Linked DNA regions of Macaca fascicularis. The protein of the gene in region 1 interacts with the protein of each later gene in a biochemical or structural test. Links are inferred from orthologs where the notes say so. Each region holds a gene or a part of one and is shown in the gene's direction. Other genes may lie near its edges.

Region 1 (4,504 bases):
TTTCTCAGATACAGATATTGTTACTGGTTAGGAAATTCAGCATTTTGGTAAATTAAGGCAGGAGGATTTAATGTCTCCTGGGACATGTGGGGGCAGAAAGTGATCCTAGAAGGAAAACATTTTACTATGTTTTCCTCATTATAATCATTTATATCTTTTTGCTTTGCTTTACACAACTAGGAGTTGTGGTGGGCACTTGTGTCTTTAAAAAGGAGGGTTGGTTCACTAAAAGAACCGTAATTCATAATTTAAAAAAATTCCTATATGTTTGGAATTATGGTCTCAGCATAAACTGATGATCAACTGAAAAAAAATGAATAAATTCCAGGGAATTCAATAACCATGGATACGGGGGAAAAGCAGCATGAATACATGCTGTATTCTCCTTTATTTAGAAAAACCACACAAAAATACAGCACAGTTGATGTGTTTGTTACCAGGGCTTGAAAGTCGAATCAACCACTGTGTAAAGGATAAAATAAGACTGCACGGATATCAGGATTTTCCCAGCGTGCTTTATTCATAGCCATCTGACACAACAGGACCTAACAGAGCTTTTAGGAAAAACTGAATTCTCAGCCCACAATCACTTTCCAGGAACTTCCCTGCAAACAGTGCTGTGCGCTGGCAGGATGGAAATCTTAGCAATCTCCCTCCTGCTTCCACAGTTCCCTCCTCTCTCAATAAAATTATTTATGGGGACTTAATGAGAGAGCAAGCCTTGTGTGAAAGGAATTCAAGAAAGTGCGGCTTCTAAAAATACACCTAGGCAGCTCTACAGTCCTTATTGTTACAACCTGACGTTTTGCAGTTCATGCCATGAACCTAACTACACTTCTTGCCAAATACACACACGCGTACAAAGAGGAGGAAAAGTAAAAACTATGTTTTCTCTTTCTGCAATCCCTTTAACTTTGAGTAAACAGTAGTAATTTTCTGTTGACATACTCAATGCAAATTTCCCAAAGGCTACACAATACAAAACAAAAGACCTGTTAGCTTCCTCAGAGCTGAGGGGAGGAGAGGCAGGGGGAGAGAAATAAAGTTGATGGAGCTCCAGTTTCTCCTAAGCCGGCGGTCCTGAGCCTCCAGTCACCCTAGTCTTTTTGTAGAGATATTTTGAGTTTCAGTCTCCACTTGGGAAGGTTCCTTGACCCCTTCTCTCCCAAGTCCCCTGTCAATAAAATCCTCATCTCTCCCGCTTTGCCCCCAGCTTTTTGAGGAAACTGGACCTTGCTTAGGCGTCTTGTTCCAGTGGGCTGAAAAGTACAGCTGGTGACGTGAGGATAAATATTTAAACAAATGGGCTGGGTCACAGCGTGGGGGTCTTCAAGAGAGGGCCTGCTCCTCCTTCCGCCACGTGCTCCTCACTTGGGGGGCAAGGCTCCTGGATAGGGGGCTAAGAGGGACGAGGGTGGCATGAAGGGAGATGGACAGACCAGGCTGTAAGTGAAGGAGGCCCTCTAGGAAACATCGTCTCGACCGAACATTGACAGAGAAAAAAAAAAAAAAAAATTGGCCCACATGCCCCTAGTGGGGAAGCATACACCCCACGCAGGCTGGGTTGGGGTGGGGGTGCTTCGAGGCCTCTCACCTGACTTCCTCCTCCGCCTGCACACACACTACAGTAACCCCCTCTACTCACCCCCCAAAACCCAGCCAAACAACGAACAACAAGAGGAAGCCGCAGGCGACAACAGGAGGGGTGCGCGTGGTGGGGGCCCCGGAGAGGTGAGGGGGCAGGGTTGGCGGGCGACGAGAACGGCGCCGCGCACCACAAGCGCACCCCCAAGCGCCCACACTTACCCCTCGAGGCTGAGGGTCCTGTCTTCCGCGCCAACCCCCGTGCGCGCCCCCTCGCCCGCCCTCGCCCCTCCGGCCCGCCGCCCCCCACACCCCGGCCGGCGCGCTGGGAGGGAGCCCGGGAGCCGCGCGCAGCAGCGGCGGCGGCGGCGGCGGCGGCTCGGGCTCGGCTCAGCTCGGGCTTCAGTGCGCCTAGTGTAGCCAGCGGCCGCCGAGGCTCCCACCGCCAGGGGGAGAAGCCGGGCGGGCGCTAGGGAGGCGGGCCGGGCCCTGGCCGCCCCGCTGGCCAGCCCGCGCCGCACAAGCTCCGAAGCGGCGGCTGCGCGGGGTCTGCAGAGCCCCCGGGCGCAGCGTGCCCGGCCCGAAGCGCCACGGCTGGATGCGCGTCCCGGGTGGCTGCGGGCTCCCGCGGGGGGCGCTCCGGCCGCTCCGGTGCGCCTCCAGACTGCGGGCGCCGCGACCGCCGAGCCGAGAGCAGCTCCCGCCGGCCCCTTCCCCCTCCCGCCCCCGCCGCCGCCCCCTCCCCCTTCTCCCCCCCCCCACCCCGCCCGTTAACATCTCCTCCCTCCCCCTCCTTCCCTTCCTTCCCTTGGCCCCGCGCGCTCGCTCGCTCGCTCCTCGCCTCGCTCTCCCCTTTAAACGCCCACTTCGGATGGGGAAAGAGGACAACTTGAAGTCAAGTTGCAATTAACTTCCGCGGCAGCCGCAGCTCCGGCGGCGGCGGCGGCGGCAGGAGAGGCAGAAGCCGCCGCCTCGGAAGTCCGACGCCGGCGCGCCCGCCCGGGGAGCCGTTCCTGGTTTCAGGCCCGCACTCGACAGCCACCGCCGCCCCCAACGTCCATGCCTGAGTGAGTTCTGCTCTTTTGCCTCCCTTTTCCCCTTGTTACTCTTACTGTTTTATCTCTGTCTCTCTTTTTCCGGAATCAAACCAAACTTCTCTGTAGCACCCACCCCGCGTCCCCTGTTGGGGCGGCTGGGCTCCCCTCTCGTGGGCGAAGGGCTTCAAGGGTCTTCTGAGCCCCTTTTCTCACGCAGTCGGACCTCGGACGGGTGGGCTGGTAAAGTAGGGGAGAGCGATCGGGATAGGGCACTTGAAGATGCCGTTTGTTCTCTGTCTGGGTGTGGACACATCACCACACCTGCCCAACAGACCCTGGCTGAACAAACTCCTTCAGGTCACCGGTGTGGCCCCTTTTAGAAGAGGAAAGGGGAGTGGAAAAGACCGAAGGAAGCAAATGGGGAAAGGGGGAGCCTCTCTGTGCGTTCTGGAGCCGGGCGGGCAGTAAGGTGCCTGGAGGAGTGGGCTGCCGGAGTGCTAATGTTCCCCCACCGGATCGCGAGTCTGCTCAGCATCCTTCCCCGGTCCATCTCCGCCTCCCTCCGCTCCCTGCCGGCGCGACTGATTGTAAGCATCGGCGAAGAGGGGCCTGGGAAGTTTGTGGCAACTTCTGCATCCCGGGAGCTACTCGGGCGCCGGGGCGCTCAAGTTGGAGCCCGGAGTTTGAAAGCGGCGGCACTCCCCATTTCGAGCCCTCGCTGGCTGTAGCGAGGCTGGTCCGGGAGAGGCTGCTGGCGTGAATGTGGGTTTGGAGTTGGGCAAGAGGCAGAAGAAAGGGCCATCCTCCTAGCTGGGGCCGGGACATCACAGGTGCAGCCTCGGAGTCCACACCGTGTCTCCCTCCTGCTCTCCAGACCCGAGCGCGGTGGCCTTTTCCTATTGCTCCAGTGCCAAGGCTCCTGGGGCGGCAGAACTGGGGTTTGGGAAACCACGACGAGAAGGACGAAGCAGGCAGGTGGCAGGTCCGGGGAGTGCCACGTGCGTACCGGGGAAACACAGGTTCCTCTTGGGATGACCTCAGAAGACCAACAGGGGAAAGGGGCATAGGGATCTCCTTGAAGGTTTTGGCCTTGGCCTCCACTGGGGTGTTGCAAATTTCACTAACAAATGTCAACCACAGGGTCCTCTCTCAAAGTGTCCTGGTTGGCAACTTTGACCTCTGCGCCCTTCCTTGGTGAACTTTCTCAGCGGCATTCCGGACTTACAAGCAAATGTTCTAAGACTTGGACTCCACATGGTTATAAAAGAGACAGGGAAAACAGAAAGATGCCCTATTCCCCGGAGAGAACCTTACTGCTCTGACTGACTGGGGTTCCATGTTTGCATACTTGGAGGCCAGGGGACCTGACTTTCTCAAGGGGGAGGGGGTAGGGTAAGAATGAGTAAAATGTGACCACTCGGTGTCAGATTTTGTCCTAAGCAATCTCTGATATTTACGGTGTTTGTACTGCTGACAGAGTAACTCATCCCGTTGAAACTTAGTTGAAATTTACACTCTATCTAAAGTGGATTTTTCTGAGATGTCAGTAATGTGAGATTTATTCTGTGGTCAAATGTAGCTGCAAAAATCAAAAACAAAAACCCATGCTTTAAGGCTGAAGAAAACCAAGGTTGAGGTGTTTGCTCTAAAAACCTCTCATCTCCTGTATGATACTAGTGCTATGATTTAGCAGTAGTCCTTTATTTCTATTGCATATTATTTTGTAGAACAGTAGTACATTCATATACTGGCTGCTCTAGTCTGCTGGCAAACATTAGCATTCAAGCTTACATTTTTGACAAATGTGCAGACAGGAATAGCATGAATAGGCATCTTAAATATTAACAACCTAAGCATCTGTTGTGAAACAAATTTAATATATT
Region 2 (4,399 bases), on another chromosome or scaffold:
TCATTTTTTCCATGAGGTATGAGACAAAGTTGATTAGTAAAAAGTGGGGGTTGGGGAGGAGGTATATAGAAGGCTTTTTTTTTTTTTTTTTTTTTTTTTTTTGAGACGGAGTCTCTCGCTCTGTCTCCCAGGCTGGAGTGCAGTGGCCGGATCTCAGCTCGCTGCAAGCTCCACCTCCCGGGTTTACACCATTCTCCTGCCTCAGCCTCCCGAGTAGCTGGGACTACAGACGCCCGCCACCTCGCCCGGCTAGTTTTTTGTATTTTTTAGTAGAGACGGGGTGTCACCGTGTTAGCAAGGATGGTCTCGATCTCCTGACCTCGTGATCCGCCCGTCTTGGCCTCCCAAAGTGCTGGGATTACAGGCTTGAGCCACCGCGCCCGGCCCAGAAGGCTTTTAGTAGAGACAAAAAAGAATGAAATAATCCTTCCATCAAGTCTACTTAAATGTCAATTTAGTGGATAAAACTCTCCCAGAATTAAGTACATCTCCCAAACCCTTCTTCTTTCTCAATGGACCGTTTGCTCCCTTCTGGTACTCAAAAAATAACATTTGAAATTGTATCTTTGTTCGTTCACTTGTCTGATTCCCCATTAGAGAACTACAGAAGGGCAGGGACTTTGATTCCCCAATGTATATTTAGCCGTTAGCACAAAGCCAACAGATAGTCACTAAATACATTTTTTTTAAACAAAAATGTTAATGAACACCTTCAAAATTTTGTCTTACGCCACCTCGCAAAAATTCTTGTTTGTGCAAGTCACATTTCCTTTCTGAGCTTTCATTTCTGAATCTATACCCTGGGAATTATCTCTTCCTTGCCTACCTCACCGCGTTATCAAGAGGAGGATCTGAGCCAATAATGCTACAAATGCTTCATTAAGGGCCCCTTAAATGTAACGGATTTCTATTTTTAGCCCACTGGTAGCCTCGCAAGTAGCAGGTGCTGAAAAAGCCTTGCTTATTAGGGGTTGGAGGACAGCATTGTTTCTGTGACCGTAGGCGTCGAAGCTATGCAGAAGCGTTCCACGGACCGCGGAGAGATGGGGCTCAGGCCAGCATCCCTCTCGCCCCTGCCCTTCCCGGGAGGCGCTGGCCGAGCGAGGATGGGGGTGCTGGGAAGCCGAGGGGGTAGTAACTGTCAAACCTCGCCGCTTGGCGCCATTATTTAAATAGAACGTGCCTGTCTCGCAGTTGTACGTGTCCGGGGCGGGGCTTCGAGCGCCCTAAGCGGGGCGGAGGCCAGAGGCGGGCTGGGAAGGTGGAGGGGCGGGCCGGGGCGGGGCCAGGCCGGCTAGAGGGGCGGGTCTAGCGGCGGCCCCCGGCGAGGTTCACTGCGCTTGCGCTGACAGACGCAAGATGGCGGACAGTGCGGAACTAAAGGTAAAGCGCAGCTCGAATTCACTTCTAATATTCGGCCGCGGAGACGGCGCCTCTGGTGCCTGGGGGGATGGGTCCGACCCTGGGGGGCCGCTCGGGCCTGACTCCACCCGGGCCTGGAGTTGTAGGGAGAGAGGCGCGCCCGGTCTCAGCAGAGGGGGCCCGCCTGCGGCGGGCCGCGGGCCCCGGGTGCCTCGGGGGCGCTGACGGGTCGTCCCCGGCGTGTTATTGTTGTGGGCGCCTCTGGCGGGGGTGGCGGGGGAAGAGATAGGGAGTCGGGAGGTAGGGGCTGCAGCTGTCTCCTGGGCTCGGCTTTTTCACCTTCTAGTTAGCCTCCCCGCCCCCCATGGGGAGCTGGGGCTGGGGGCAGGGTGCTCTTGTAGGGGGGATTGGGAAAGCTCCCCGTGGCCGCTTCCTCTTCCTCCTTTGCAGTCCCGGGCTCCTGTCAGGCGCTCTTCTCAGACCCCCGGGAACTTGGCTCCGGCCGCCCCGCCCCTCCGTGGATCCCTGTCGCCCCCGCCCCGGACTCGGCTCTCCCCGGCTGCTCGCTTTCAGGAAGCGCCTGGGGTGCCCCGCTTGAGGGAAGCGCGATCCCGGGGCGATAGGGTGGGGATCTGGGGGAGAAGCTCTGGTAAAGTTTAGCGAGCCCCGGGCCGGCATTGGGGTTCGGCTGAGAGGTAGCGGGGGAGAGTCAGCCTGGGCGGGACGTTACTCTCTCTCTGATTCCGGGCAGCCGAGGGGAGAAACCCCCTCGAAGAGTGTGTGTTTGGAAGCAGTGTTGGGAGAGGGGGATGTAGCTACCTCTCTCCCTTCTCTTGCCTTGGCTGGTGTGGAGGGTGAGAGGAGCCTTTGGGGGTCTCTGCACACACCATGATGGCGATGCTGTAGCTGATGGAGGTGAATGGTTCGTGTTTATATCCCCCCATTGCCTTTTGTTTGTAGGGACATCTTGCTGGCCATGTTGATTTGAACGAAATTCTCCCCTCATGCTACTCTAACCCCCGATAAATAGAACGTTCCTCTTAACTGTACCAATTACTCACGCCTCACGAAATTAGATGAAAGGGTGCCCCCTTTTCCCCGCTTTTCTCCCACCCCAATCTTTACCTGATGATGGCTTCTTTACCGAAGCAGATATACCACTACACAAGCAGTTGGGGGAGGGGGGGTGGAACCCTTATGATTGGATTGTGACAAATGGGGCTCCGTTTGAATAATTTTGGTTTAGTAGCAGGCAGTTCTTAACTAACGCGTATTATTTCGAGGCTCTGAACGCGATCTTCTCTGTGGCTTCCTGTGTGTGTGAACCCAGCAGCTGGTTATGTCTCGACCCAGAGAACTGACATCTCTGTCAGAGTGGAGATTGGGATATACAATTGTAAATCTTTGGAGAGAGTCTTCTTTTTATAATTAATACAAATTATTTAATTTTTTTCTCCGTTATAATGAAACGACAACTTCTGGAACAACCAAATGCCAGATTTGATTCTGTAGAGTTTTTCCTGTGGAATATCCTCACCGAAAGATCTTTTCTCCTAATAACTTCACAATGTTTACACTCCAAGATTTAGGTATTAAAGTATTGGCTTTGAGTGTCATTCTTTTAAAATGTACTTATAATTACAACTTTATTTAAGGGAGAGCAGATTTAGAATGGATGGTTTTGGGTTTTCTCCAGTTTCAAACTATTGACTGAAATGAGAAAGCCTTAGGAATTTGAATATTTGGAGATAGTTAACCCTTGAAATAAAAAAAAAGCACACAACTTTAAGACATGTTTTCTATGATTTTTCTCTTATGATAGAGTCATCATGTTGCTGTGATCTTTGCCTTCTAGTATTTATTTTGTTAGGAGTTCTTTTGAATGATAGCTAATCAGTTGTTATACATGGACCATAGAATAAAGCCGAAAAGCTTGTGCAGACTATATTGTCACTCTTGATGCTGTCCAAAGAAACTAGTATGGAAAGCACATGCTGAGAGATTTCCTTCTTTGTTCTTTCTCATTTTAAGAAAGTGCCTTTGGGGATGGATCAGATCCCTGGTGTGAGTCTTGTTAGGTAAAGTTTCTCTTTACGAAAGTGAACCAGTATCAGATAAACACCAAACACTTGAAGAAATGTTATTTTTCTAAAATTAGTCTCGTTTTTTGCTCTCTCCCAAATCTACTTGAGTTTTTCCAGAGGAAGTTTTTTTTTTCTACTTTTATGTTCCTGTTGTATAATTTTTCAAATTATAATAACTGTTTTGACATGTTGGTATGTCATTGTGTGTGTCTGAGACTTTGAGGAGCTGTGTGATAAATTGCTTAGCTGGTGATAACTGCATTAAAAAAATTTGGTTAATACTTTATTGTGGTTAGATTTGCTGTTCTTTTTTTGGGGGGTGGAGGAGGTGATCTCAGGAACGCCTACCATAGTTATTTGAGAATGTGTTAAAAAAGAATGTGTATATATAATTTTCTGTGCAGTAAGGTTTGGCAGATACTCCTTTTGGAAATGATATTTTCGGAAGGCTTTTTGTTTGTGATTTTTTGGAGGTAAATATGCATTCCTAATATACGAAAAATCAGTAAGAAGAAGAAAATCTAGTTTTTTTGAAATTTTAAATGGGAATAGAGTACTTCAACTGTGAAGCTTTGCATAACATTCAGTGACTTTTCATTATCTTAGGTTTCAGCCCCATACTTCATTTTGCTGTGTATTCATAATTATTTTCCTCATGGCTTTTTTAGTGAGTCCTTTTAAATCTATAAGAAATCTGCAAAGATCAGATGGGAAAAACGGATAGATCTTTATCCCCTGTAGGAATTGCGCAAGCTGCAACACTTCAAGATATTGCCAATAAAAATTAGATTGTGAATCATACATATCAAAATGAATTCTCTATGCACATTTGTTTATGAAAGGCTTAATTTTTCATTAGGGGAATACCCATAAATGACATTTTAAGAATGTGGAGGGTATTTTGTCATCTTTAGGAACTTAGAAGCAGGAGGGTGTGATGGCCAGATGATCTT

What was found.
Region 2: the proteins of SATB1 (region 1) and PIAS1 form a complex in vitro, tested with the Homo sapiens proteins (2 studies listed by BioGRID, with this or other methods). The link is inferred for Macaca fascicularis from reciprocal best matches to the Homo sapiens genes SATB1 and PIAS1.

Annotation. Positions count from the first base shown.
Region 1 is NC_088376.1:29,937,671-29,942,174, forward strand, and holds the start of SATB1 (DNA-binding protein SATB1), read left to right. Parts: upstream 1-1,657; 5' UTR 1,658-1,731; intron 1,732-1,806; exon of another isoform or gene 1,807-2,250; intron 2,251-2,386; exon of another isoform or gene 2,387-2,651; intron 2,652-4,504. UniProt on the Homo sapiens protein: Crucial silencing factor contributing to the initiation of X inactivation mediated by Xist RNA that occurs during embryogenesis and in lymphoma.
Region 2 is NC_088381.1:44,795,823-44,800,221, forward strand, and holds the start of PIAS1 (E3 SUMO-protein ligase PIAS1), read left to right. Parts: upstream 1-1,347; 5' UTR 1,348-1,359; coding exon 1,360-1,383; exon of another isoform or gene 1,384-2,271; coding exon of another isoform or gene 2,272-2,277; intron 2,278-4,399. UniProt on the Homo sapiens protein: Functions as an E3-type small ubiquitin-like modifier (SUMO) ligase, stabilizing the interaction between UBE2I and the substrate, and as a SUMO-tethering factor. Catalyzes sumoylation of various proteins, such as CEBPB, MRE11, MTA1, PTK2 and PML.